7 linked regions of the Cricetulus griseus genome follow. The protein of the gene in region 6 interacts with the protein of the main gene of each other region in a biochemical or structural test. Links are inferred from orthologs where the notes say so. Each region holds a gene or a part of one and is shown on either strand. Other genes may lie near its edges. The genes, in order: Klf5, Ywhaz, Nin, Muc1, Srebf1, Gsk3b and Lrp6.

Region 1 (3,500 bases), on a different chromosome or scaffold from region 6:
TAAGCAGTTGATTACATCGTTATATGCAATTGCACACTTCTTTTATTATGGGACTTTAACCTGGAAAATGCATTCCCTCCTTCCTATCTCTGGTTTCAAGGACTTCTGATGAGGGGAAAGGATACAGAAGGGAGAGAGGAGGGGGGGGAGGGAAAAAAAGCAATAGCTTAAATGTTCCAAAACCCAAGTTCAGTGTTCCCCAAACACTAGTACGGAAAATGGCTATTTCAGTATTTTTTTATTTATTAATTTTTTTTATTTTTAGTACTTCTGTACGTATTGACTGTATTTTGGAAATTTAAGATTGGACTTTATTATAGGCTGGACTATTCTGTTTGTGATTGCCTGCAAAAAAAAAAAAAAAAGCCTCAGGCCCAAACAATCCATTCTATCACAGAATGCAAGAGATAGCCCTTTCTGGGAAAGCCCTGGAATCTGCCGCATTGTTGCCGGTACCATTTGGATTTTACTAAGTGTTTAGCGTTTGAATATCAAGCACTACTTCCTAACACACATACAAAATGTCTGCAACCACTCTCTTTCAGGGCTCTGGTTCGTCGACGACCTTTGTTCAAAGGCTTTTACTTTTTAATGCAGCAGTTAGAGATAACTACTTCATTTATCAAAACTCAATTTCCATAGTAACATCTAGCCTGGGGAGATTCAAGTCCTCACACTAATCCAACAACCCATTCAAAGGAACTGCTGAATACTTTGGTTTCCATAGCAATGATGGAATAATACATTTTGCTAGGTCACTGCTTTTATTAGCAAACTTATTCTTTGAACTTTAGGTAAGGAAGGTGTATTTGAGGAAAAAATGCAGTCACTTTTATCTGTTTTTCCTTCAGGGCTTCTTTTTTTAAAAATTTTGAAAGGAAATTACACTAGTAACATTATCCAGACACTTGAAAATATGGGTATGTGAAGCCCTTTAATAAAGCATGCTACCAAATTTCATGTGAAATGTGGTTTTGGTAGGTTTCAAAATTAATAGATCCTACAAAGGATTGCTGTGAATCTAACAAAACAAATCAATCATTATAAAATTAGAGATAAAACTTAAACGTAGGCTTCAAGTGAGGATGCAAGGGAAACGGACTAAAGATGGGGACTCAAACCTATCAAGGGCTGAGGTTGGGTGTGGAGTGATGTCTAAACTATTGCCCTTCATTCTGACCACCCTGCAGATTTTAGGTCTACTTTTCAGACACAGCAACTATGCTAAACACAAATATTTGAAGCCACCAGTGTTAAGCACTAGCGCTTAGCATGGTAAGTGGAAGTTTTTAGGTTAAAAGGGCTTTATTAAAGCAAAATGATTTACCAAGAATTTTTTTCCCCTTCTTTCAAGACAGGAATAAGCATTGTCATTTAAGTTTTAAAATCCATTAGTAAACACTGCTGTTTACGTTTGGGGGGTCATTAATTCTCTGTGAGGTGACAGGGCAAGGTCTCACCGAGGGGACTCTCTCCTGGAAACAAGCTTTCTTGGGGGAACCCAGTTTCGAGGCAAGCCCTTGCTGAAAAGGTAGGCCATTAAAAAATAAAAGTTGACAGAAGAAAGAAGAGATCAAACATGTGCTGGCTTTTAAAAGGATGAATGCCACTTATACTATTTACACAACTCACAGAATTAACAAGAAAATTACCTACCTGTATGAGTCCTCAGGTGAGCTTTTAAATGAGACGACTTTGTATAAACTTTTGTGCAACCTAAAAGAAAGGAGCAGAGGAAGAACAGCTTGTCATTTCCAGGGCCTTTTGAAATCTTTACATTTGATGATCCGGTGTTTTAAATCTGGCTTTAAAGACGAAATCTCTTGTGCTAGATGCAATATTGGAAGATTTGGCTAAGCAGTTTCAAGGTGCCCTCTCCCCTCGACCTTATTAGAAGGTGCAGGTGATCCCACCTATGTATCACGTTGAGAGCAAAGAATATGGGTAATCCAGTCAAGCAACAAATGGAAAATTTGTAATTCTATTCCAGTAGGTACTTTTTTTACTCTAACATGTGCTTCAGTGACTTGATAGCTAATACATATATTTTTTAACTTACTGGATGTAGAGATGACAGAGCTAAGTCATTACCCAAGATGACTATAATTTTCTATACCCCTACTTTGTTTTTTTCTTTTAGCACGCCACATCATGCACCATAGTCAATAAATTATGCCCTATATTAAACATAAACTCGCTTACGCCAGCAACTTGAACATATATTTATTACTGTCAAATTATATTTTGGGTCACGTATCTCATTCAAGAATGAGCGCACACTAAAGGAACCGTTTTTTGGTTTAAATCTGTCCTGTAAACAGCCTTCTAGTTTCCAAGAGGTACCTACCCCTGAACTTCATCACCACATGACTGTCTCCAACCCTATTTAATCTCCAGGAGACTTTACAACTTTTTGCTGTGCTTTATTCAAGACAAGGTTTCTCTGTGGAGGTTCGGAGCCTGTCCTCGAACTTACATAGATCCGACCTCCTCTGCCTCCCAAATGTGAAATTCAAGTTTTATTTACTACTAAAGATTGAGAAATCTTAAGTTAACTAAGTCTCTAGAATGGCCTAGCCTTTAAAAATGTGTTTGGAAATTGTTATTTAAGAGGCAGGATCACGCTACGTAGCCCAGGCTAGATTTAAAGTGTAATCTTCCTGCCTCAGCCTCACTGCTGGGATTAAAGGCATGAGCCATCATGTCTGACTGGCCAATTTTTTCAATACATAAAACAAGCACTGGACTAGTATCTAATTACACACCTGGACAAAATGCAGAAACAGACTACTAAGAGAAACTAGGTGATTTACTTCTTACTGTCAAATACACCCTTGCTATATATTTTCATGCCTAAGGTTGAAAACAGTGCGCACACGCAACGTAAAACACTACTGACTCTTCAAGCACACAGACCACATACATACCAGGGTAATCGCAGTAGTGGATGCGCCGTTTCTCCAGATCGGGGTTACTCCTTCTATTGTATCTGACAGGTTGGATGCTTGGTGAACTAACTGGCAGAGTGGCAGGTAAATTCGGATTGCTAATTGCCAGTTTAGAAGCAATTGTAGCAGCATACGATGGAGGTGGAGTTAAATTCTGGAGCATCTCAGCTTGTCTATCGGGACTTCCAGGCTCTGAGCTCGGTGGCGATGGGGGAAAGTAAGTGGCCTGCTGTGGAAGAAACTGACTTGGCATGGTGTATGTGCAAGGGGGCATGCCCTGGAACTGTTTCATTGCAGTCTGCGGAACAGCAGAGGTGTGTGTGTTAAGGCCCGCCATGGCGGCAGACATGGATATGTTAAGGGTGTCCATTATTGCTGTCTGGTTTGTAGAACTAGGCATGTCTAGATCCGGTGTATTCAATAGCTGGTACAGGTGGCCCTGCTGGGAAGGGACAGAGAGATGAAGATCTGGCGTAGGAAGTTCTTGTTTGATGAAGATATTGTTCACCTCTGGAGCTGTGTTCTGATGGGAGCTGAATATACTGTTGAACT
Region 2 (3,942 bases), on a different chromosome or scaffold from region 6:
CAGACCATGTATCCGACAGACAGACACTGAGTTGGGGGAAGAACAGCTTGTCGTGGAATCTTCTGGAGAGCTATGGGCTGAATACTTTTTCCCCCCTTTTCTTTTTTCCAGCCAGCAGGAGCTGGGTAAAGGCGTTTGCTTCAACTCAGGACGCACGTTTAAAGGACGCAAGGGCACACGCTTCACGCTGAGAATGCTTCTCCCTCCGCTTCCGTCTGCTGGGTGGAGACCTTGCGGGTGCAGGCACCTGCAATTTCCGCCCTCTTCCTACCCCCTCTTCCGGGCCCAGGCGCTCCCGCCCCTGCTCGGGCGAGCGGCCCCCCTCCCACTGTCAGATGGGGGGCCCCGAGAGCGAGCAGCCAGTATCCCCAAGGTGGCTCCCAGGACCTAAAAGGCTCTTTGAGAGCGTTAAGTGGAGACAACGAGCCTCCCCGTCAAAGCCCGGCTGTGTGTGTGTGTGGGGGGGGGGGGGCAACAGTGCAGCGCCCGGAGATCGGCTCGCTGTGTGAGCCTGTGTCCCCCCAGCTCGCACAAGCCCTTCCCCTCTCCTCCCGGAGACCCCCCATTGTCTCCCTGGCTGTCACGGTCTGTGCGGGGCGACAGGAGGGACAGCGGGCGGCTCGCCCGAGCCTTAAAAGGTCTAAGGCCGCTTTACTGCAGCGGTGGGCGAGCGGGCGAGCTAGCAAGCGGCCACGCCCGCTGCCGCCCCGCAACCGGGGCTCTGATCACAATGCCCCGGCCGCAGAGCCCGCCGTCATTACCGGGGCGGCCGGGAGGGGGAGGGGCGGGTGGGGGGGGGGGAAGACGCGAAAGGTCCCGGATGTGCCCGCCAGTAGAGGTGTAGGGGGGAGGGAGCGGCTTCCTTCCGCGGGCCGCAGGGGCGGCGCGGGAGGGAGGAGGGAAGGAGGAAGGAGGGCGGCTCGCGGGGGCGGCGGGGGCGAGCCGAGCGCGCGGGAGGAGGAGGAGGAGGAGGCAGGGTCGGGGACGCGCTCTCCCTGAGCTCGCCTCGGGCGGGCAAGCGAGCGGGTGGGCGGGGCGGGCGCGCGCCGGGGGAGCGGCGGTTGCGCCGGGCACCAATCAACGGTTGCCATAGCAGCGTTTGACGTCATTGTGCGTGTGGTGCCCCTGCTGCCGGGGCTAGTGATTGGAGGAAACCCCGTGTCTGCGGAGCCGCTGTAGCCTGTGAGCAGCCAGATCAGGGACAGAGTCTCAGCCTCGCCGCCGCCGCCGCCCAGGGACACTGCCGACCGGGTCCGTGTGCCGCCACCCACTCCGGACACAGGTGAGCAGCCTCCCGGGCTGGCCCCTCCGCCGCTCGCCCGCCCCGCCGCGGCGGGCGTCCCCAAGGATCCTGGACCCGGGCGGCGGCTCGTCCCGCCGAGCCCCGGGCGAGCGCCCACGGCCGCCCCCGGGCCGCTTGCTGCTGGCCCTGCCGGGGTGCTGGTCGCCCCGTCCGCCCGTGTCCCGTGTCCCCGGGGGTGGGGGTGGCGGAGGAGGCGCCCACGCGCGAGACCCTCCCGGGTTTGGGGGGGGTAGGGCTGAAGCTCGGGCGAGCGGGCGAGCGCCATCCGCCCCCGCCGGCACCCGCTTCCGCCGCGGCTGGGACCGGGGCCGTGGCGCAGGTGAGGCGGCCCCCACCCCGCCGTGGCGCCCCCGCCGCCCCTCCCCCGCCGCGCGGGCAGCCAGGTAGCGCGCGCGCGAGAGAGAGCGAGTCTCCGGGGTGGGGCCGGCTCGCCCTCCCGCTTGCCCTCCCGCCGGGGACCCGGGGCTGAGCTTCCTGGGTCCCTCTCGGTGGCTCACTCGCTCGCACGCTCGCACACTCGGTGGGTGGGTGGGTGGTTGGGGGAGGGGCTCGGCCTGGGCGCCCCGGGGACGCAGGGGGGTCTCCGGCCGGGTGGGAGGTGAGCATCCTTCGGGGAGAGCGGGGGCTGCGCCGGTCTGGGTGGGGCCCGGCCCCTCCCATCCCCCTCCTCCTCCTCCGCAGCTGTCGGGGGCGGGAGGGGGGACCCCGGGAGGGAGAGAGCGGGGTGTGTCCGGTGCGGGTCGGCCGCCGTCGGTTCCGCTCGTGCGGGCGCCGCTGGCTGGCATCGGGGGGCCCCCTCCGGGTAGGGCGAGCCGCTCGCCGCCGCCTCCTCCCCCCCACCTCCACCACCCCACCCCACCCGACCCGACCGCTCCTCCCTCTCGGCTCGGCGGTGCTCGGGTTGGGTTGGGCTCCTTGACACAGTTCCGCCATGACAAAGAGAGAGAGAGGGCGAGCGAGCGAGCCGGGGACCGGCGGAGGCGCCAGCCTGGGCGGAGCCAAGAAGGGGAGGTGGCTGCGGGCGGCGCGGACGCGAGCGAGGACTGGCGCTGGCTTTAAAAAGTCTGGGGCGCGGTTTCGGCTCGCCCCCGCTCGCCCGCCCGCCCGCCCCGGGCAGGCGAGGGTTAAGTGGGTGCGGCGAGGGCTCCCGCAGTGTAGATGCTGGTTCTTCGTGTGCTTCCCGCGGGGAACCGGGCGGCTGAGGTCGGCGGGGGTGGGGCCGCCGGGGCCGCGCTGACATCACTTCCCAGGGCCGTTTCTGGTGTGAGGTTTCCAGACCGCAAAGGGTTAACTCGGCCTAGCCAGGCCCCGGCGCTTGTTTCAGTTGAGGATGCTTCTCATTGATTTAACGCCCCCTCCCTCCCCACACCACACCACCCCTCCCCACCCCCCAAAAAAGCGATTTCTGGAAAGGTTAAAGGAAAGGGTGCGATGGTGGCCTTGGGTGGTGGCGGTGCATTGGGCAGTGACTGTCATGGAAATTCATTTCCTGGGATCCCTGTGGTTGAGAACCGTGCTCTTGACCCCGTTCAAGGAAAGAAAAAAAAAAAAAGTTGATCAGAAATAAATTGGGATCTAGGGAACTTGAACTGCAAAGGAGATTGGCGGAGAAGACGTTAGGGCCGACTTAATAAATGGTGACTTGGAGAAAAGCCATGCAGGGGGAGTCTGCACCTAAACTGCAGTGTGACATCGCAGGGGGCGCCTGCGCTTGGGTTGGCCCTGAGTGCTCGCTCCCTGCTGCGCAAAGTGTGCATGTAACTCCATGTAGATGGGTCTGTCTGGTCTCGGGGCGAGTGATCCCTAGTGGTTTTATATTCAGGGTATCCTAAGCATCAGTCAGTCAGTTTCCTCAGATAGTTTTCATCCAGGAAGTGTAGCAGATCGGGCTGGAGAAAGTGCTAGGTAAAAGGTAATCCACTCGGGGTCAGAGTGCACACACTGAAGGTTAGCTGGCCTGACTCACGGTTCTGCGAGTGGAGTGCTCTTCATGGACCTTCTAGGTCCGGATCTGGAGTGTTCTCCCCAACGCACTCACGCACACACACACTCACACACACTCACACTCACACTCACACTCACACTTACCCTCTCACTGTAGGGAAAGGTGGTGAAGTGTAGGTCACTCTGCATTGGGATTAAGTTGAGCTTTTTAAGAAAACAAGTGTGTTGGAATACACAGCAAGGGACAGCAGGCTGAGCGATGACAGGTCTGTGTCACAGCTTGAAGGTGGCTTTTGATGATAGAGTAGCACATATATGCTCTGATCTTACCTGAAATTGGGGGTCTCCTAAACAGGTGGGGGGGCGTCTGCCATTTGCTAAGCCACTGTTAATATGCTCGGTATGTACGTTTTCTGGTTGATGGGAGGGGCTGTATTTTAACTTGCCGTGGTTTAAGATACTAGTATACCTTGTTACAGGTACAAGGAGCTATTCTAATAGGAATTTTCTGAATATCCCTTTTCTTCCCTTTGCAGAATATCCAGTTATGGATAAAAATGAGCTGGTGCAGAAGGCCAAACTGGCCGAGCAGGCTGAGCGCTACGATGACATGGCAGCCTGCATGAAATCTGTAACCGAGCAAGGAGCTGAGTTATCTAATGAGGAGAGGAATCTCCTCTCTGTTGCTTACAAAA
Region 3 (4,271 bases), on a different chromosome or scaffold from region 6:
GGGTTGATAAATGGTGTTGACTAACAGAATAGCTGTGTTTACAGTTTGTAAGTTTCTGTGTGCTAAAAGGGGGAAGGGAGCATAAAATGCCTCTTATTTCCCAGATGCTCTCTCTGTGTTGGAGAAAGTTTTGGATTTTTTTTTTTTTAGATAACTGGCTTTGTTATATGTATTTCCTAAATTTTGAGATAACTGTGGATTCATACAAGGAATCACAGAAAGAAAGCCTCAAAATGCTTCACTCAGTTTTTCTCAGAACTGTAGCACAATACAAGCAGAAAAAAAGAATTAGGCTTTAGTTAGCTGGGGCCCCCACTAAAATCTCACCAGTTTCACAGTTCTGGGTTGTGAGTATTAGGTTCTAGGCAGTTTTGCAGCATATGTGATGTTCTTCTGAATCCTAGGTCTGTGAAGGGCTTTCTGTGTGAAGCCCTGGGTTTCATGACTTCCAGTTGCCTGCTTTGGAAACGCTATGGTGTCTAGCCCCTTAAGGACTTCCAGTCTTCTGGCTTTTAAAATGCTGTGGTGTCTGCTTCCTCGGGGTGCTTGTCATGAGGAACAGGTCACATCTGTTTCCAGAAGCCTGAACTTGCCAGTTTCCTTTCTGTCACCTAGAATTTGTCTAATGTTCTTTCGGAAATAACTTGTGGGTATAATAATGCAGGCAGATCTTTCTTCTCGAGGGCCATTCTTGGATCCCAGGGAGGCATTGCCTCCTGCCTATAGCTCGCTCCACCTCTAGCCTGGGTTTGTGGTCCTGTTCGACTAATTGTGTTAGGAAGTATAGCGATGGGAGGAGAAACCCCCCGAGGTAAGGTAGCACTTTTGAGGGTGCATGTGGAACAGGTGTGGGAGAAAGCTGCAGCCGCGGCGGGAACCCGCACAGTAACCTCAGTGGACTAAGGACCACCAACTCCAAGGACTTTCTGTTCTGCTACTATGACAAAGGATTGACTGCACCCTCAGAAGGCTATACAAGGGCCAGAGCAACTGTAAGGATGAAGGGCAGCTACAGATTATCTAGAAGTGGTCGGAGGTCCAGAGGGTTCAGTGCTCTCCAGGGCCCTTTGCTCTTTGGTACCCTTTCCCAGGACCTTCAAACGACTCTCTAGGGCTGGGAAATCCAGGGTCCCCTGCAGGTTACAGAGGTACCCCAACTTCCACTTTAGGTCTATCAGGCTGGGGGCTTCACTCTCCAGAGACGTTGTGGGCCTTGTGCCAAATCACCAGGTGCTAGCGGATGCCTTTGAGAGGACAAGGAGGCTGCAGGCAAGGGACCGCGTGGTGGCAGTGCCAGCTGGTGCGCCGAGGCGACCTTGGGGTGCCGAACCCGCACGCAGAGCCAGGGCGTTCCCAAGTTCAAATCTCTTAGGCGGGGGCTCGCACCCGCGGGCTCACAGCCGCCACCCGCTCCTCCCTCGGCTGCGGCGAGAGGAGGAGCCGCGCCCTGGCCGGCGTCCCCTTGACTCCTCCCTACGAGGCCCGGCTCTTCCTCCCCCGCGGCCCGATCTCCGGGTGGCGGCGACTGAGCCGGGAGCGAGCGCGCTGGGCGCGGCAGTCCGGTATCGCCCGGCGGAGCCCGAGAGCCCCGAGGTCATGGTCTGTGCTGTGGAGCGGGGCGCCTGAGCCCCGGGACGCGGTGAGCGACAAGCTGGGGATCCCCGGGGGTCGAGCGACCTGGGAGAGCGCGAGGCCTTGGCTGACCACGCGCCGTCTGCTTAGGGACCCCGAGCGTCCCACGCCGTGCAGACCCGCAGATCCCGGTCCAGCACGCGGTGGCGGCTCGGGAGGGGCGCTGTCGCCCGCGGGTGGCGGCGGGGGAGGGGGAGGGGCCGCGGCGACGGCGAGGGCGGGGGGATGAGCCGGCGTGCTTTTGTGAGCGCCGGCCCCTTACATATGGAAATGACGCCCGTGCGGGTCCCCAGTCGCGTCCTCTGGAAGGACGCGTGCCCGGATCGGCGGCGCGGGCTGCTCGGTGTCGCGGCGCTCGCGGGGCCCTAACAAAGCGCCCTTTCCTTGCAGAGCTCCGGAGGCGGCTGGCGCGGGCGCTCCCCAGAGGCCGACGGAAGGTAGGCGAGGCCGGCGGGGCCGGACCACCGATCTGGCGTGTGAGCTCGGCGACCCGCGGGTGGGCAGGTGGAGCGGGGACGCGGTGCGGGTTGCTAGGGACCTGGGCTGGCCCGCCCTCCCGCCACACCTCCGCCTCCCAGACCTGAGGCTTCCCGAGCTGAAAGCTGTTACTGTGTCTCGCTCCAGCGGCGGGCAGGACTCGGAGCGAGCAGAAAGGGTTCTTGTTCTGTGGGTCGAGGCCACCCAGGCAGCCCAGAGATCCAGAAGCCGGCGCGGGGAGCCCCTGGGTGTCGGCCTCCGCCTCCCGCGAGCGCAGAGCCGTTTGGAGTCCTAAAAGTGGAGATTTTAGGAGGTGCGTGGGATCCGTGCAGGTAGAGAGAGACTTTTGGGTGCAGCTAGCAGCGAAAGGAAAGGCGACAATGCATTTTGACAGTTGCTCTGAAAACTCGGTCGCCAGAGCAGAGGAGTGTGAAATGAAGTGAGGAGTGGGTGTAGGTGGGGAAGGAGTAGTCGAGACTGGAGTCGGCACTGCAGTTCCATCCCCACTTCCTCCGAAAAAGACAACTTTTGGAAACCAGCCTCCCCTAAAAGCTCTCTGTGAAATTGAGAGACTGGAAGGGTGATGTTCGCAGCCTCAGCCGGGACAGACCCGCGAAGGTGCAATTGAAGGGGAGCTGGAATAGTGCCCTGTCACAGATCGGGTTTCCATACAACTATTATGAGACGGTCTCATCGTCCCTCACCTGGGACAGACCCTCTCCGGGCGTTGAGAAGTCTTGAGAAGGCTTTCCATGCAGCTCGACCAGAACCGATTGTGTGGTTGTCTATGGGGCTGCCACGGGAGCTTTTAGGGTGCTCATCTCAATCTCTTCATAGCACTCGAAGGCTCCTGAGACCACGAACTGTTCTCAGTTGAGTTCTCTCAGATACATCATGTTGGCATGCATTTATCTATTTGCATGCTTCTCGAGGCCTAATAAGCCACAAGGAAATACTTTGATGGCATCAGTGTAGCTTATTCTAGGGTCTTCTCCAGTGGTAGCATGGGCTTTTACAAGCTAGCCTGGAATATTAGTATTTCTTGCTGTGGAACTGAAAGTAGCTATGAAATACCCAGACTGTTTGCCTGTAACATGCCAGGCGGGCTGAGAGAGGAGTTTGTGTGGTTTCTTCATCTGTGGTTGGTGTTCATAGGGAGGAGATGAGAACCTCTGGGGACAGGGGTATTGGCAACCTGTTTATTTTCACGGCTCTCTGGTGCCTTAGAGGGAAGCACTCTGAGCTGCAGTGTTGAGAAAGCAAAAGGATTGTCATAAGCAAAGGCATTGCCAACACGGATACTGGGGCAAAGAAGAAGAGCCTCGCTGCATGTGGTCCTCGTGTTGAAATGTCACGGTTCAGTCATTTTAATAGGTGCCTGCTCAGAATGTCACAAGTTCTGTTTTCTTATCCCTTTTTCATTTTAGATATGTGACGGTCCTTCCTATCAAAGGATGTTCGCTCATAGGGCCGGAATAGGGAGCCACTGAATTCTGAGCACCCAGTCTTTTTAATAGGCAGTTCTTATCATGAGTCAAATGTTGTTCAAATAAATTGTTTTAAATGTCACTGTAAATGACTTTCTAAACTACCATTTCACCAATCTTGATGCTTCCATTTTATGTTGATAATGAAAATACATTTTATGAGTCTTACATTGATAGAGGCTTGGCAGGTATAACCAGAACATTTTAGAGGGAGTCAGACAGCTAGAGCCATTCAAAAGGCTTACTTTTATAGATGGCGACTCATTTGTAAGCCAATAAATAATGCAGTTTGAATTCTGGCTATTGATCTTGCATCTGTTGGCCAGAGGCTTGTGGGGTGGTTCAGTGAACCTTGCCAAATGACATATTTATCTGATTACATTTACAAAGAAGATACTTTAAAACATTATGGAATTATGCAAATGCTTGCTTCTTTAGGGCCATTTGTGTAAGCAGTAATAGCATGTATAGATGTGATAACAGAACTTCTCCACTGTGCCCTAGGGAGCTTATAGCTTCACCTATCCTAAATGAATTTATGTAAATATGGTTCAAGAAATGAAAGTTGTTTCAGGCTTTCTTTTTTTGTTTTTTGTTTTTTTTTTTTAAGAAAAAAAAGTAAGAAACACAAAACTTTTTTTCTTCTTTGATTTTTTTTTTTTGTTGTTCCTGTTG
Region 4 (4,193 bases), on a different chromosome or scaffold from region 6:
ATTACTGATCGGAGTGGTGGCTGAGCCCAACACAGAGCTGGTAGTTGGCACCAAGGAGCCATTGTAGACTGGGGTGATGGCAGAGGCTAAAGTAGCCTTGGTAGTAGAGATAGAGGTGCCACTGTAAACTGGAGTGGTCTCCAAGTCTGGTTCAGAACTATTAGTCATAGAAGAGGCACCACTGTGGGCTGAACTGGTAGCTGATTCCAGCGCAGAGCTGGTAGTTGGGACCAAGGAGCCATTGTGGACTGGAGTGGTGGCCGAGTCCACTGCAGAGCTGGTGGCTGGGGCTGAAGAACTATTGTGGACTGGAGTGGTGGTTGAGTCCACTGCAGGGCTGGTGGCTGGGGCTGAAGAACTATTGTGGACTGGAGCGGTGGTTGAGTCTACTGCAGGGCTGGTGGTTGGGGCTGAAGAACTATTGTGGACTGGAGTGGTGGTTGAGTCCACTGCAGAGCTGGTGGCTGGGGCAGAGGAACCACTGTGGACTGGAGTGGTGGTTGAGTCCACTGCAGGGCTGGTGGCTGGGGCTGAAGAACTATTGTGGACTGGAGTGGTGGTTGAGTCCACTGCAGAGCTGGTGGTTGGGGCAGAGGAACCACTGTGGACTGGAGTGGTGGCCGAGTCCACTGCAGGGCTGGTGGCTGGGGCAGAGGAACCACTGTGGACTGGAGTGGTGGCTGAGTCCACTGCAGAGCTGGTGGCTGGGGCTGAAGAACCACTGTGGACTGGAGTGGTGGCCGAGTCCACTACAGAGCTGGTGGCTGGGGCTGAAGAACCACTGTGGACTGGAGTGGTATTCAAGGTTGGGGAACTGTTGGTGTCCAGAGATAAGACGACACTGTTTTGATCTGGAAGGGCAAGAAAGCCTGAACCAGAGTTGAAGGTGGGGAGTAGACCATTTTTATGCTCACACACCTCTCAACAGAGATGGATACTAGGTTGCTTTGGATAACCTGCATGATTTAGAAATTGTAAAAACTACTGGGTTGGTGAATAAAATCAGAGGAAGGAGAAAAATATAAACTCCAAAACCAAAGTAACCCCAGAAGGGGTATAAGGTTGGCGTCAGGCAGTCCCTGTTTGCCTTCTTCCTTGCTGACAACCTCCCTGGCTAATCTCTCCCTCCCTAAAAGACTCAACCCTGCTTCTGGCTAATTCATTCCTCCACTACTTATTTTTGAGACAAGGATTCATACTGCAAGCTGGCCCTAACCTAACCGCGGCACATGGCCCCATTCTCCCACTACCATTGTCTCTCCTGACACAACCCACCTCCACAAACATCAGAGCATTTGCCTCCTACGGTGCCTACTCTCTTGGGGGTCACATCTTCTCAGCCTGTGTCCTTAGCCTCTTTCATTCTGGCACATAACTGGGTCATCTTTGTCTATCCTTTATGCCATCTAACAGCAAGCAAAAGAACGGTGAGGAGTCCCACCTGAACAACGCACCTCCACCCCAACCTCATGCCTCTCACCTGTTACAAGCACTAGAAGGAGCGTCAGGAAGAAAGGAGCCCGGATGCCTGGGGTCATGGTGGTGGTGAAGAGGCGGGAAGAGGGCAGAAACAGACTCAAGGCAGGAGCTGTGGCGTGTGTGCGGTGGAGCAGCTCTGGTGCCCGCTGCTTTATACCAGTACCCCTCCCGCCCTAGGCACAGCCAGAGCAGGTGACAGGTGACAAAACTCCGCCCCCTCCCCTATCTTTTCCTCCTCCTCCCCAACCATTCCTGTGTAGGGTACTTGGGCTCCAATCACTCAATCTTATGACTACTTGTTTATTCTCCAGTTGGCTTCCCCCCTTTTACCAAGCTCTCCTTGACTTCCCCAGGTGTGTTTGTGGAGGAGACCTGGGGCCCCCTGGCTCTGGTTTTAGCCCCAGAGCAATGGTCAAGATGGGGAAACGGAGCACAGAAAGGCCCTGGACAACTAGCCCAGGGAAACCCATCCCTAGGTTCCCCAATCCCGTTTCCTATTCTCTCTGCGGATCCTTAAAAACGGCTTTCCATAAGTTGAGAGGACACAAGGGGGCTGGATAATAATGGACAAGTCGCTAGTTTCAGGCTCCCTCCCCCCATCACTTCCCGGAATAGCTCCACCCTTCTAACCGCTCCCTGTACTCTGAAAACCACAGTCTCCGCCCCTGCCAGGCTTTCCAGTAGCCTGGGTCCCTGTTTGGCTTGCTCCTGAGAAAGGCGGTGGGGGGAAATTTCCACTTAAAAAGGACGAAACTGGGGCTCTACCGAAGCCTAAGGTCGTTCCTACCCAACTCTCCACCTTGAGTGGCAGGCTGGCCGGTCCTTCTGGCCGGGAACGCCTGCCCTCTAGTGGTCACCGGGAGCATCGCGCGGCCAACCCGCACGGGCCGAGTGGCCGAGGAGTTGAGACCCTGTGGGGAGTTTTGACAGCACACCCCAAGTTGAGACCGAGATCTTAGGGAAGTTGGTTGGGCCTTGACGAAAAGAGTCAACGCCTAGAATAGGTAGGAAGGAATGCACAGTGCGGTGGAGGAGCAAGGATCAGTGCTTGGGTTACTCAGATGTCTGGGGGGCGGGGGAGAGGCTAAGTGTGCGGGGAGGGGGGCACCTAAGGTATGTGGTGGGGGCAACAAGTTTAGCGATAAGGACTTCGGATTGTGGGAGGGGGAGTGGGACAGGTTATGTTCAGGCAGCTAGGTATTTAGGAGGCAGAGAATAGAAGGGGCGACCATGAAATTTGGGAGCTCAGAGCTGTGTTAGGGAGAGGAACGATATTTGGAGCAGACAGGCACGCCACGCGGTGCAGGGCAAACCCGTGTGTGTGTGTGTGTGTGTGTGTGTGTGTGTGTGTGTGTGTGTGTGTGTGTGTGTGTGTGCGCGTGCATTTAGGGAGAACCGAGAGGTATTCTGAAGGGCAGGGACAGTTGGGGACGGGGAGGGCTTTGGGCTCACAGCAGCATGTGGACTCAGAGTACCAGGCCAGATCCTGCAGGCGTAGGTTTGCAGTTACAACTGTAGTAGGCCAACAATTCTTAGTCCCAACGAGTACAAAACAGAAGCTGATACTTTAGAAACTTTTCGGAGGTGCGTAAATGGGGGCGTGGGACCCACGCTCCCGCCGTGTATCGCGCCTCTGAGCGATTTTGTGAGGCCGGCCCTGGGCGGAGTGAGGACGCCCTACGTCAGCGCGCCCACAAGAATTTAGGTAGGCGGGCCCCAAACCCCAACTCCTGGGATTGCCAGGCAACAGCCAGTCAATTTGGTTGCTGGGATACCAGTCACCATGACAATAGCTCCGCGCCTCTCAGTCTGAGTATTTAAAGAGCAAGCGCGCGCACTGCTTCGACGTTGCAAAGTGGCCTTCCAGGGCATGGGGGGGGGGGTTCCCCTTCTCTCTTCACCCTTTCGCCCCCCCTTTCACCCTTCGGGCACCCAGGCTCTGGTGTAACTCTAAAGTGACCCCAACTCTCCAGAGCGCCCCCAGTCCCTGGGTTCCAAAGGCCCAGGTGGTAGGGAGCGGGATTCCGGGGCCCCGGGCGGGCGGGAGGGACGGGACGCGGTGCAGTGTTGTTCTTTCCCCCGCCAATATTGCACTCGTCCCGGCCTCCGGCCCCCTCGGCCCCCCCGGCGCCCCCTCACCCAGAGCGGGGGAGCCCCAGCCCTGGGCTTTCGATCACTGCGGAGCTTAGAAGGGTCGCCGCCGCCACGGTGAGTAAGTGGGGCTGGAAGGACTTTAGCCCATCTTCCAACCTCATCCTTCATTTGGTACTTTTCCCACCCACACCCCAACTCAGTCAAACTTTCCCTGGCTCTCTAACCTGCGCTACCAGCCTTTCTAACCCCTCGGGCTCCTTATTGTCCTAGAAAAGGCCTAAAATAAGTGATTGCACTGACTTAGAAAATAGCTGAAACTTTATGGCAATGTGCTGATGATGTCTTTCCTGGGGTTCGTACCTGAGTAATATACCCCTTGAAGGTCCCCCAACCCCTGCACAATGGGGTCACCACCCCTCTGGAGCTGCGCTCCCTGATGGGTGCCAGAGAACCATCAGTTAGGCTGAGGAGCTGTAGATTAGACCCCAAGGTCTCCAGAACAGAGTCCAAGGTCAAAGGTCTCCAGTCAGGGTTCTGAATCTGGTGGCGGCACCTCACACCCTTCCCTGGAGCAGTTGCCTCCGGAATGGCTCAAAGTCCTCAGGCACTGTGTCTGAAGA
Region 5 (4,173 bases), on a different chromosome or scaffold from region 6:
GCAGTGACACAGCTGTCTGGGAGTCTGCAGGATCCTGTGGTTGCTCACCCACACCAACTGTGGAGGTTTGAATAGGAATGGCCCCCACAGGCTCACAGATTTGAACAGCTGATCATCAAGGCATAGAACTACTTGAGAGGGATTAGGAGGTATTACCTTGTTGAAGTAGGTGTGGCCTTCTTAGAGGTATGTTGCTAGGGGTGGGCTTTTGGGTTTCAAAAGCTCAAGCCAGGCCCAGTGTCTCTTTTCTGGCCTTCGGATCTGGATAGAGAACTTTCAGCTACTTCTCCAGCACTATGTCTGTGTATATGCCACTATGCATTCCTGCCATGATGACAATGGACTAAACCTCTGAAACCAATGAAATGCTTCCTTTGTAAGAGTTGCTGTGGTCATGCAATATAATACTAAGACACCAATAAACTCACCGGTGCATGAAGCTGGACTTGGACGGAATCCTTTCTTTAGTCTGTCACAGTGCCCTATCAGATACATAGACACCTCTCCCTAAGGAGAGTCATACAATATTAGAACATAGACAGATCCAGTGTAAGGCCAGCACAAGAAAGGGGTCAGAACTCAGGAGGGCTTCTCAGTAAGTGGCATTGGACCTAGGCATACATCTTGGGCCAACAGACAGACCAGCTATTGAGGAGCTGTCTCTCCCAGGCCTTGGGCTCCCCAGGGCTCCAAGAGTAAGTAGCCAGTCTCAGACCAGAACTATGTCCATTTGCCTCCTCTGTCCTCAGTGCACAGTGCCACCAGCCTCCCAGTAGTCCCCATACAGGCTCCTCTCCCCAGCCTCTAGTGACCTGACACCAGGAACAAGGAGGAGCTGCTTTGAGGTCACAGCCAGCAGCAGGACTTGATGCTCTGAGCTCAGCATCACCCTCAGAAAGAAAGAAGGCTGTAAGTCCCACATCACTGGACATTTGTAGGACAACAGGTGGTAGTGGGCTGTTGGGCTCCAGGCATTGGCTGGCTCTCCCTGCCACTTTCCAGTCTTATGACCAATGCTGCTCTGGGCTGAGGGAGACAGCTGCATGGCTGACTTCTTAATCCAGCCTTGGGAGCCAAGGATCCAGGCTCTTGAGCCAGCAGCCTGAGTCTGAATTCTGGCTCTGCCTTGCTATGGCTGTGTGACCTTGGACAAGTCATTTAGCCTGCTTTTCAGTCTCTCATCTGTGAGATGAAAATGTTTTCCAACTGGGATTGTCAGAAGACCCACTGAGATCCTCATCATAGTGCCTGCCACACACCAAGTGCTCAAGAAGGGTTTGCCACCCATGTTATGATGGCCTACCCCAGTGCTGAAGAGGGGCTTTCTAAACAACGTCACTCTCCTTCTCCTGTCCCTTCTCCCACTGCCCTAGCCATATCTGGAACTCAGGCCTGCCCAGATGTTTTTCAACCCTCATTCCTCTTAGGTGACCCAACCTCTACCCCCAAGTCACCCCTCTCTAGCCCCAGCGACAAGCACACGTGGGTCTCTGAGTGATTCTCCCAGAGGCTTGCCTCTGGAGCTCAATGAGGATCTAGGCACAGCACACGCTAGGTGTCTATCAACAGATCATGGGATGGGGGTAAGGGAGAGAACACTCTACAGTAATCCCAGGGCACCATTGTAGTTTATAGATAACACACATTCGTGGTTGTCTGGGGTGGAGAAGAGTGTGAAGCCCTCAAACAGGCAAGAGAGATTCAATGTTTCGAGACTGCTGACAAGCCACCAGAGGTTATTGAATGGCCCGCCTAACATGTATACATCTTATGGTATGGAAAGTTTGGGGTTTTTTTTGTTGTTTGTTTGTTTGGTTTGTTTGGTTTTTTTTTTTTTTTTTTTTTGGAGGGGGGTTCGAGACAGGGTTTCTCTGTGTAGCTTTGGAGCCTATCCTGGCACTTTCTCTGGAGACCAGGCTAGCCTCGAACTCACAGAGATCCACCTGCCTCTGCCTCCTGAGTGCTGGGATTAAAGGCGAGCGCCACCAAATGCCAGTTTGTTTTTGTTTTCTTCCCCCACACCCACCCCAGCTGGTGGTGGTGGTTGAAGATGGAGATGAATCAAGCTGGGCAAGTTCAAGCGATGTTTTAAAAGATCTAAGTGGCCCAGGGTGTGGCTCAGGGCAGAAAGCCTGTTAATATGTTCTAGATCCTGGGTTACTGCCCCAGAATAGCAAAATTTGAAAAATATTTCGGAGAGCAGAAGCTGTGTTCCTTGTCTCACGCCCCCCACTCCCAACTCCTCAAACTTAGGTAGCGCCCCAGTGGCCTTTGCCTCTTACCTTGTCCTCCGCTAGAAAGTATCTTTGCTTGCTGATGCCGGGGCACCCCCCAGCACTAACACACCTAAGAGACCTCCCTGATCTCGATCCAAAGTAGCCAGATACTTGCATGCCCAGGTGCATGTAAAAATCCGTTTGTGGGCTTGCTTGGGGATTTTGGTGCATCCAAGAAACGAGAAAACCCAGGTCGGCCCGTGAACTGTCCACAGGGCCCAACCTGGAATTCAGCGGATGCTCAGCGAGTCCAGAAACCAAGCCCACCACAAGCTGGAGAGCTAACCCTCAATCCGAGGCGCACAACTGCGCAGTACGCACGCACGCGCAGAAGCTCCCGGCCAAGTGACCTCCCAGGACATGCGACCCCGCACAGGCCGCGCAGGAGCCCCGGGCCACGCACCTTGGATGTCGGTCAGCAGTGCGGCGTCCAGTTCGCCCAGCTCGTCCAGCGCCTGTTCCACAGCCGCCTCACCGAAAGGCAGCTCGTCCATGGCGGCGGCGCCCGCCAGGCTTCGCAGGAGGCCCGCCTTACCGAAAAGTTCCTCGGAAACTAGGTTCCGCAGGCGGAGCCACCCAAGCGGAGGGGCGGGGCTGCCCGCCAGGCCCTGCCCACCAACCGGCATCTGCAGGCTCCAGACAGCTCACCTAGACGGTTCAGAAAGCCGACTGGAGCCCGGTTTCCCGTAGCCTGTCTTAATCCATTATCAATCCCGCTGTTGGGGCAGAGAGGGCCAGTGGGCCTGAACAGCTCCTAAAGGAAGATTCTGGTCTCCTGGAAGACCTAGAAAAAGTGTGGATCCCAAGGTCAAGCAGCGACTCTGTAAAAGGAGCCCAGGGGAACTGAGCTCAGCTGCCTAGATCATGACCTAGACCCAGGCCAGGCCAGCAGCCTGAGTACTGAAAAGTGAACCCTGGGCCCTGTGACTTAGGGACAGGTAAAGCCGGTGGAAGGGGATAGGTTCCTCTAGGGTGGACTGAAGTAAACCTTTCTGGTCCACACTATTTGCAAGTGAGGAGACAGCAGCAACACGTAAGAATTAACCGGGTAGCCCGCCCCCGCCCCAGGGTCAGGACCCCAGGCCAGCTGGAACTGCCATGCTGAGACTCCAGGTACAGACTGGGCGACTGCTCTCACCTCCCAACCAGCAGAATTAGTTGTCTTTGGGCAAGGATGGAGTGTGTGTCTGGTTTCCACCTGAACACATTTTTGTCCCTCTCCCAGTGTGGCTGCTTAGAAAATTACTCAGAGTAAGGTGCTCAGGAGTGCTGGAACTATAAACCACCTCTCCCCGACATGGAGCCCTTGCTTTGGGGCCACTCTGCCTTGTCCCTCCCACCACCATCAGAAGACCCAGGAATTTGATGTTTCCTGAAAACTCAAACAGTCCTTCGCAGTCAGAAGGGTGAGGGTCTTCAGCGGTCAGTTGAGTTAATGCCTCACCTGCTTGTGTGTAGCCAGGGTCACTAATTGTCCAGAGTCTCTGCGGGAAAGGGCTCGGGGTTTGGAATCATCACAACATCACACCTTCTGAGAACTGAGTAAAATGTATACATAGCTCCACACACACACACATTCCGTTGCTGCAAGACTGGGGGAGCCGAAGGTAAAGTCAAAGAAAGACCTGTACCCACGACTAGAAAGCTCCCTTCGGAGCAAAGCCCAACACAAACCTCTGCTCCACAGGGTGGGCTTACAAGGGCAGCAGCCAAGGGGAAGCTTTCCTGGTAAAGGCTTGGAGAACTTCAGAGGAAGTTGGTGGTCTCTGTCTCAAACACCCGAGACCTCCCACCAAAGATCTCAGAACCCCTTGCTGGGGTCTTTGGTGCTTAGAACACAAGCGTGGTGTGGTGATCCTGGGCGGGGTGGGGTCTCAGCCTGGCCAACAAGGACCTG
Region 6 (3,500 bases):
AAATTTGTATTTTATTTTGATTACATAGTATTGGTTATATCCAAATATGGCAATAATTTAGTCAGAATCAGTGATGGTTTCATTCCAAGTAATGTTAATTAAAAAAAAATCTATTCATATGTTTGAACCCTTTTTATTTTTTAACAAATAAGTATTTTTATAAGTATTCACCTTTTACAAATCTATTTTGTGTATGTGTGTGTGGGGGAAAGAATTGCAGAGAAAGAGAGAGAGAGACAGACAGACTCATTATGTAGCCCTAGGTTGGTTAGAATTCACAAGAGATCTGTCCACCTCTTCCTGTGTGCGGGACTGTATCAATCTTACACAGCCTTAGGAAGCAAGGTCAGGGCTGGAGAGATGGCTCATCCATTAAGAGCACTTGCTACTCTTGCAGAGAACCTAGTCAGGGCTGGAGAGATGGCTCATCCATTAAGAGCACTTGCTACTCTTGCAGAGAACCTAGTTAGATTCCCAACATCCACATGATGGCTCACAGCCATCCATAACTCCAGTTCTCAGAGATTCAACATCCTCTTTTGACCTCCACAGGCACTGAGTATTCAAGTGGTATGCATACATAAATGCAGGCATATGTGTTTATATATGTGGTATACATGCAGGCAAAACACTTATACACATAAATTTTTAAAAATTTAAGAAGCAAGAATCTTAGATCTGAAAATGGATCAAATCCATGTTTGTTAGGGTCCCAAAAGCCCTGGCTCACACAAACATTCTATAATGTGTCAGGAATTTGGTTGTAACTATTTTAGGTGAGCCTAGTATAATTCAGTCCAGTATCTTATACATACATACATACATACATACATACGCACGCACGCACGCACGCACGCACGCACGCACACACACACACACACACAGAGAGAGAGAGAGAGAGAGAGAGAGAGAGCATAGATAACCAATATCAAACATTTGACTAAGACACTAATCATTAGATATCCGATAACATTCCCAAGGACAAAGAGTTAAAATTTGCTCTTGGGGACCACTGAGCTAATAAATATACTAAGAAAGTCTGTTACCTTCCATTCTTATACTGGCTCATTAACATTTTATTTTACTCCTCCAGCAACCATGAAAAGCAGGCAGAATTAGAAATGATCTTCATTTCACAGCTCAGATAGAGGACACCTGATGTCAGCCTCAGCTCCCCACCCTCACACAATTAATGTATGAAATAAAATAATTTTGTCCTTTTTCATCTAGCCTATCAATGCTGGTTTTGTCTTGCCATTCAGATTCAGCGAGTCATGGTCTTTGTGCTGACACAGCAACTGTACTAGAACAACACAAAGGCAATGAGGATTTCAACTGTCTTGAATCCTTCTATCATTAGACATCTCCCTCCACTGAAATTTTTAAACCAGCAAGTTTAGCTGAACAACTAATGAATTAAGTTAACCTAAAGTGATGTATTATGGTAGGAATTCAAAAATATTATTGCCCTATCAATTACAGTATTAACATTTTAAAAGTAACATTATTAATTAACCAATATTCTAACTAGGTATCAGGCTCAGAAGTAAATATTTCAGGAGAACTAGAAAACTAATACAGGACCCACAGATAGCTCAGTAGATAAAAATTCTTGCAGTGCAAGCCTGATGACCTGAGTTTGATCCAGAGAACCTATATAAGGGTAAAAGGAGGGAACAGACCCCAAAAATTGTCCTCTGACGGCTACATGCAAGCTGCATATAGCATATTTCTTCCTGTCATTGATCCCTGCCTCATTAATATTTTTAAAACACTTACCTGAAGAGTTACAGTATTTACACTTTACTTCAAACTTTAAGATCAAACAAATACATTAGCTAACTATAATGCAAATACTTTTAAAATTCTAATGCTAAAAAAGCATAATGGAAAGATATACATAAAATTCTAAAAGGTTAAAAAAATTTAGTTGTATACATTTCTGCAAAAATATATTGCAGCCATGCCCTTTTCATGTCAGAGAAACTGTAAGAATCAGGGTGCAATTAACAGTTATAAACTGTATTCAGAGTCAGTACTTACCTATGCTAGAGGTATAATCAGTGGCTCCAAAGATCAACTCTGGTGCCCTATAGTACCGAGAACAGATATAGGAAACATTGGGTTCTCCTCGGACCAGCTGCTTTGCACTAATGAAAAAAATAAAAATAAAAAAAAGCAATCTTTAAATCCATACCTTAAAGAAACAAATACTCATATTCACACACCATATTTGTCTCAACCTCACAAGACTGCAATAATGCAACACACTTGCAACTGTTTTCAATGAAAGAAATACACAATTTCATCAAATTGATATAAGAAACAGTGATTTTTAAAGTAAGCATTTGTCAAGTGTTACCTAAGGAACAAAGAGATTAAAAGTTCAAAAGGATACACATGTTCAGTTTCTTCTGGTTCCATGTTTCCTAAATTCTACTTCTGAAATGTAAAAATGGTTGCAAGGCATGGCGATGCAACACCTTTAATCCCAACCCTCAGGAGACAGAGATAGTTGAGTCTCTGTGAGATGGAGGCCAACCCAGTTTGCAGTGAGACTTATAAGGTCAGCCAGGGCTACACAGGAAGACCCTGTCCCAAAAAATAGTAAATAATTAAATATATAAAGATAAGGGGCAAGAAATTTAAAAGGAGCCTTCCCCAGCAAAAGAATGACAGTGGATCAGAATAAATGAATATATCAATACTCCTCACCAACACACTTTTTTAAAAAGGGTAATAACTGCCGACTGTTTTATATTTGACTTCTGACTCAGGATGGCCAGCTCAAGGCTTACACAACCAACCTATGCATGATTTGATATTTTAGTCAGTTTGCTATCTAACCACCTGTTTCTAAACAAACTGCAAAAAGGCATTCAACTTGAGGGGGAAAGTGACTCAGAACCTATCCATTCCATCCCTGCTATGCTGTTTACATATTATTGCAGCTTTGCTCCTGAAGTATTTTACAGTATATACACTTAAAACATTAAAGTGAATTACAGTTAGCATCTCTCAAATGTCTCTCAGATAACTCATTTCAAATCAGCAAGCCACACTGGGAGATGCACTGACAGCAGCGTCACAGACACAGGAGATAAATACAGGCAACAAAATCACAACAGAAAACATCTGAGGTAAGGAAGGGCACAGGAAGGCAAAGACACAGCCAGGGGAAAATGACCTTTCAACCTTAAAGTCTAGGCTTCCTTCCCCTCAATTTACTTTTAGTCAATGATGATGCTAAACTTAACTTGTTTTCCCTTCATTAGCAGTTTCACAATTTAACCTTCTAGGGCCCACATTAATGGTTATTAAACAACCATAATATTTTCAGGCTATCAGAAAATCAAGACACTTAGCTTTCAGTATAACTAATAATGGACTTTTCTATCTTCAGAAGTGCATTTTGGGGGCTTGGGATATAGCTCCTTGATAAAGCAGCTGCCTAGGATGTGACATTTAAAGTTCAGCTCCCAGACAAACAAACAAACAGC
Region 7 (3,500 bases), on a different chromosome or scaffold from region 6:
TCATAATTTGTCTGATAGTAGTTCTGATTTCTGCATGGTCAGATATACTGTGCTAAGTACAGTTAAAATGCCCAGAGGGCCAGTGAACTTTCTAACACAGTGTAAGAGTTTAATACATGTTTATACTTGTTTATGTACCCTTTAAATAATCTATAGTTACTCATGAAGGTAAGAGCTGACCTAAAATACTGGCTTGTCTATGTATGATTTCTACAAGTTTTTTTCTATGTATGACCAAGCTTATTTTATACTCATCCTAAAGATCCACAAATAAACTGTCTCTGAAAGTACAGTGACTGCAAGACAGGGGGCAAGATGAGAATAACTGATGGGGAATTCATAAATTTCCTAGTGACACAGCACCCACGCCTGCTATCACTCAGCTTTGCCCCACAGGCCCCACTGAACAGGTTCCTGGAACTTTTACCATCAGTGTTGGTAAAAGACAGTAAAAGACAAGACATTACCATAGCACTTTTGCTTTTTGTTTCATCTTTCTGTCCAAATAGATGACAAAGCCTGGGGAAATATTCTAGGTTAAAATTTAAAAGGCTAAAAACTTCTAATCTCATAAAGAAAAAGAAGGAAAAAAGGAAGCCAATCAACAAAATTCTGTGAAATCTCAGCTTAGGTAAAATCATGACAATTGATAAAGTTTGACATAGATTTGTAGCCTCCTTTAGACATGGGAAACGATTTAAAGCAGCTGTATACTTTGCCTGATGTTTTCTTCAAGGTGAACTAAGTACATTTTTTAAATGAAATTTTTGGTTCTGGTCTTGTTTTTCAATTTTCAGGCCTCGGCTTTTTTTTTTTTTTTTTTTTTTTTTTTTTGTCATTTTAGAATAAAACAGTGGCATGCAAAGAAGTCTTACAATGACTCATGGAAACAATCATGTTGGAGACAACCCTATCTCTGTCTTAACTGACTTTGGTAGGTAGTTTCCATTTTATTTCCATCACTACAAAGTGACGCCAGGCCAGAGTGACGGAAAGGAAATGTTATCCAAATGGTAACAGGCACTGGGGACCACAGTCACAGCATGCAGGTTTCAGACAGAATACAGACTTTCTGCTGGTGTCTGAACAGGATGGAAGAGTAAGGTACACACACAATAACAGACCTACCCAACACACTCACAATGAGCACGGAGGCATCATGCCCCGTATGACGACTTGTTTATTCCATGCAACTAACTACATGGAAAATCTTTCATTCCAGGTCACAGTGACACATGTAATGTGGGTCAACCTCCTTCTGAGTTTTTCAGAGTCTATGACCCACTCTCCTGTTGCCTGCAAGCTCTTACAACTCTGACCTGTCTCGCCCAGTCCTCAACTGCATTACTCTAAAAGTCAGCTGTGTGGCCGGGCAGTAGTGGCACACGCCTTTAATCCCAGCACTGGGGAGGCAGAGGCAGGTGGATCTCTGTGAGTTCGAGGTCAGCCTGGTCTCCAGAGTGAGTGCCAGGATAGGCTCCAAAGCTACACAGAGAAACCCTGTCTTGAAAAACCAAAAGTCAGCTATGTAACTCTCTTTTAAAATATAAAATGAAAAAGAAAAGATTTGGGGGTGGACAATGTCAATCAAGTCTTGCCAAGACAAGAATCCTACTCTTTGTTTGGTGATTATGGGCTGTTCATTTGAGGCTTAGGATATTCACAAATGGAATATGGAAAAAAAGTATGTCAGTGAGATATCCACCCCACCCACGCCTGTAGCACTGACCACACCCAAACAGGCGTGGTCACAGGTGTGGGCTTGATGGAGGGTAGGACTAGGTCTGGGGTCCTGGACCCCAGTGCTCTCTCTTGCTTCCAGTTGGGTCACAGAGGGCAGCCTGGGAGGATCCTTGGAACTGGAACTTGCGCTGGTCACCAGCGTCTTGTGTAAGTGCATTCTCCCTGAATAGACTTCACTTCACCTGCACTGAGTCTAGTGGATCTCGATCCCACGCGACAGTGTCTTACCTGTAGGACCTGTGTGTGGAAGGACTGTTGGAAGAATAACCAAATTCCATGGTATAATGAGAACGCTCTGTGGCAGGCGACGGTGGTGGATTCAAAATCTAAAAGGAAAACAATTAAAACATTAAACTAACAATACCTTCCCATAGACGCAGATCACCTTTACCTTCTATTTCCTCACCTGTCTATTCTTTTCCATTGCACTTTTAGCGTAGGATTCTTTTCAAAACAACTACCTAAATAGCACTTTAAGACTGGCTCCACTTTCCTAACCACAAGTTCTTTATCCTGAACAAGTGGTAAGAAAAACAAAACAAAAAGACTGTCACCTACATCACTGGCTTGTTTGGCACAGACAGTCTCTAATTTTTTAAACACAACTTTTCTATGTTTGTAGAAAATTATTAAGAGGAATTCTAATGTGCTTCCTCTTACATTTTATTTTTATATGTTTAAGTACAAGATTATGTATGCACACATGAAGCTGCAGGCCAAAGGAAACCATAATGGCAGCCTCAGGAACACTGTCCACCTCCTTTAAGAAGGCTCTCATTAGCCTGGAACTCAGGAACCAGTCTAAACTGGTGGGCCAATGCACTCCAGAGATCCTCCTCTCTGTACTTCTGCAGTGTTGGGATTATGAGCCAGGCCCAGCTTTTTATCTTGGTGCTGGGATGGAACTCAGGTCCTCTCACCCACGAGACAAGCATTTTACAGAGTGAACCATCTCCCCAGCCACATGCTTCTTCTTTTAGCAGCTTACAAAATAAAGGTCCTAAGTTTGTTTGGTACCTTAGTGGTTTATTTTTTTATTTGAATTGTGAAATTATTATTATGCTTTCAGCTACATTGATTATTACAGAGTAAACTTAAAGCTTTACAAGTACAGTGCAGTGGTGGTATATTCCCCACTGACTCCTATGTACTTCAATCTTATATTAACAACTATTTTTACATTACCATCACTGAGCACCCACGTTTAAATGAACTGATCGAACATGCTACGTATTTTAACAGTGAAAGAAAAACATAGCAAAGACAGGCTGCTTACTGCAGGGAAGTAAGTGCCTTTGGTGCTTGAAGAACTGCTTGATGATGCTCCTGTGACATGTGCTCGATCGTAGGGTGGCCCACTGCTTCCCCCCATGATACTGAGGGAACTGATCATTGATTTCCCTCGAGACATTCCTGAAGGAGATAAAAATGAAGATGAGTAGCATCTATAAAAATATATAAAATCATGAATCAACATTGAAGTTACAAGCAGCCCAACTAGAACAGCTTACGTCCTCTTTCCCTAGTAATAGCTGTAAAGAGTTAATGAAAAAAATTAATGAATGTTGAAAGGAATGGTTCCATTGAGAACTGGCTTCTAATAAGTCAAGCTGCTCCCACTTGGCCTGGTCCAAGGAAACAGAGCCCTTCAGAGTGAGAGGTATTCACGGAAGACTTCTTAAAAAAAGGACTGAGGACAAAGACTGGGAACCAGGGTAGATGAAACTGACAGATGAGCTCCAAAGAAAGCAAAGCCT

Evidence for each region.
Region 1: of the proteins of Gsk3b (region 6) and Klf5, one has a biochemical effect on the other in vitro, tested with the Homo sapiens proteins (2 studies listed by BioGRID). The link is inferred for Cricetulus griseus from reciprocal best matches to the Homo sapiens genes GSK3B and KLF5.
Region 2: the proteins of Gsk3b (region 6) and Ywhaz form a complex in vitro, tested with the Homo sapiens proteins (2 studies listed by BioGRID). The link is inferred for Cricetulus griseus from reciprocal best matches to the Homo sapiens genes GSK3B and YWHAZ.
Region 3: of the proteins of Gsk3b (region 6) and Nin, one has a biochemical effect on the other in vitro, tested with the Homo sapiens proteins (2 studies listed by BioGRID and IntAct). The link is inferred for Cricetulus griseus from reciprocal best matches to the Homo sapiens genes GSK3B and NIN.
Region 4: the proteins of Gsk3b (region 6) and Muc1 form a complex in vitro, tested with the Homo sapiens proteins (2 studies listed by BioGRID). The link is inferred for Cricetulus griseus from reciprocal best matches to the Homo sapiens genes GSK3B and MUC1.
Region 5: the proteins of Gsk3b (region 6) and Srebf1 form a complex in vitro, tested with the Homo sapiens proteins (2 studies listed by BioGRID, with this or other methods). The link is inferred for Cricetulus griseus from reciprocal best matches to the Homo sapiens genes GSK3B and SREBF1.
Region 7: of the proteins of Gsk3b (region 6) and Lrp6, one has a biochemical effect on the other in vitro, tested with the Homo sapiens proteins (2 studies listed by BioGRID, with this or other methods). The link is inferred for Cricetulus griseus from reciprocal best matches to the Homo sapiens genes GSK3B and LRP6.

Annotation. Positions count from the first base shown.
Region 1 is NW_023276807.1:251,134,878-251,138,377, reverse strand, and holds part of Klf5 (Krueppel-like factor 5), read right to left. Parts: coding exon 2,928-3,500; intron 1,717-2,927; coding exon 1,657-1,716; intron 1-1,656. UniProt on the Homo sapiens protein: Transcription factor that binds to GC box promoter elements. Activates the transcription of these genes.
Region 2 is NC_048603.1:14,723,766-14,727,707, forward strand, and holds the start of Ywhaz (14-3-3 protein zeta/delta), read left to right. Parts: upstream 1-1,142; 5' UTR 1,143-1,282; intron 1,283-3,783; 5' UTR 3,784-3,794; coding exon 3,795-3,942.
Region 3 is NC_048598.1:133,256,439-133,260,709, forward strand, and holds the start of Nin (ninein), read left to right. Parts: upstream 1-1,471; 5' UTR 1,472-1,639; intron 1,640-2,022; exon of another isoform or gene 2,023-2,108; intron 2,109-2,130; exon of another isoform or gene 2,131-2,422; intron 2,423-4,271. UniProt on the Homo sapiens protein: Centrosomal protein required in the positioning and anchorage of the microtubule minus-end in epithelial cells. May also act as a centrosome maturation factor.
Region 4 is NW_023276806.1:65,326,002-65,330,194, forward strand, and holds the start of Muc1 (mucin-1), read right to left. Parts: upstream 2,801-4,193; 5' UTR 1,539-2,800; coding exon 1,481-1,538; intron 870-1,480; coding exon 1-869. Other genes in the region: Thbs3 (thrombospondin-3), read right to left, coding at 4,128-4,186. UniProt on the Homo sapiens protein: The alpha subunit has cell adhesive properties. Can act both as an adhesion and an anti-adhesion protein. May provide a protective layer on epithelial cells against bacterial and enzyme attack.
Region 5 is NC_048600.1:74,353,841-74,358,013, forward strand, and holds the start of Srebf1 (sterol regulatory element-binding protein 1), read right to left. Parts: upstream 2,801-4,173; 5' UTR 2,771-2,800; coding exon 2,680-2,770; intron 1-2,679.
Region 6 is NC_048597.1:51,920,621-51,924,120, forward strand, and holds part of Gsk3b (glycogen synthase kinase-3 beta), read right to left. Parts: intron 2,151-3,500; coding exon 2,044-2,150; intron 1-2,043. UniProt on the Homo sapiens protein: Constitutively active protein kinase that acts as a negative regulator in the hormonal control of glucose homeostasis, Wnt signaling and regulation of transcription factors and microtubules, by phosphorylating and inactivating glycogen synthase (GYS1 or GYS2), EIF2B, CTNNB1/beta-catenin, APC, AXIN1, DPYSL2/CRMP2, JUN, NFATC1/NFATC, MAPT/TAU and MACF1.
Region 7 is NC_048601.1:14,501,183-14,504,682, reverse strand, and holds part of Lrp6 (low-density lipoprotein receptor-related protein 6), read right to left. Parts: intron 3,157-3,500; coding exon 3,020-3,156; intron 2,070-3,019; coding exon 1,972-2,069; intron 1-1,971. UniProt on the Homo sapiens protein: Component of the Wnt-Fzd-LRP5-LRP6 complex that triggers beta-catenin signaling through inducing aggregation of receptor-ligand complexes into ribosome-sized signalosomes.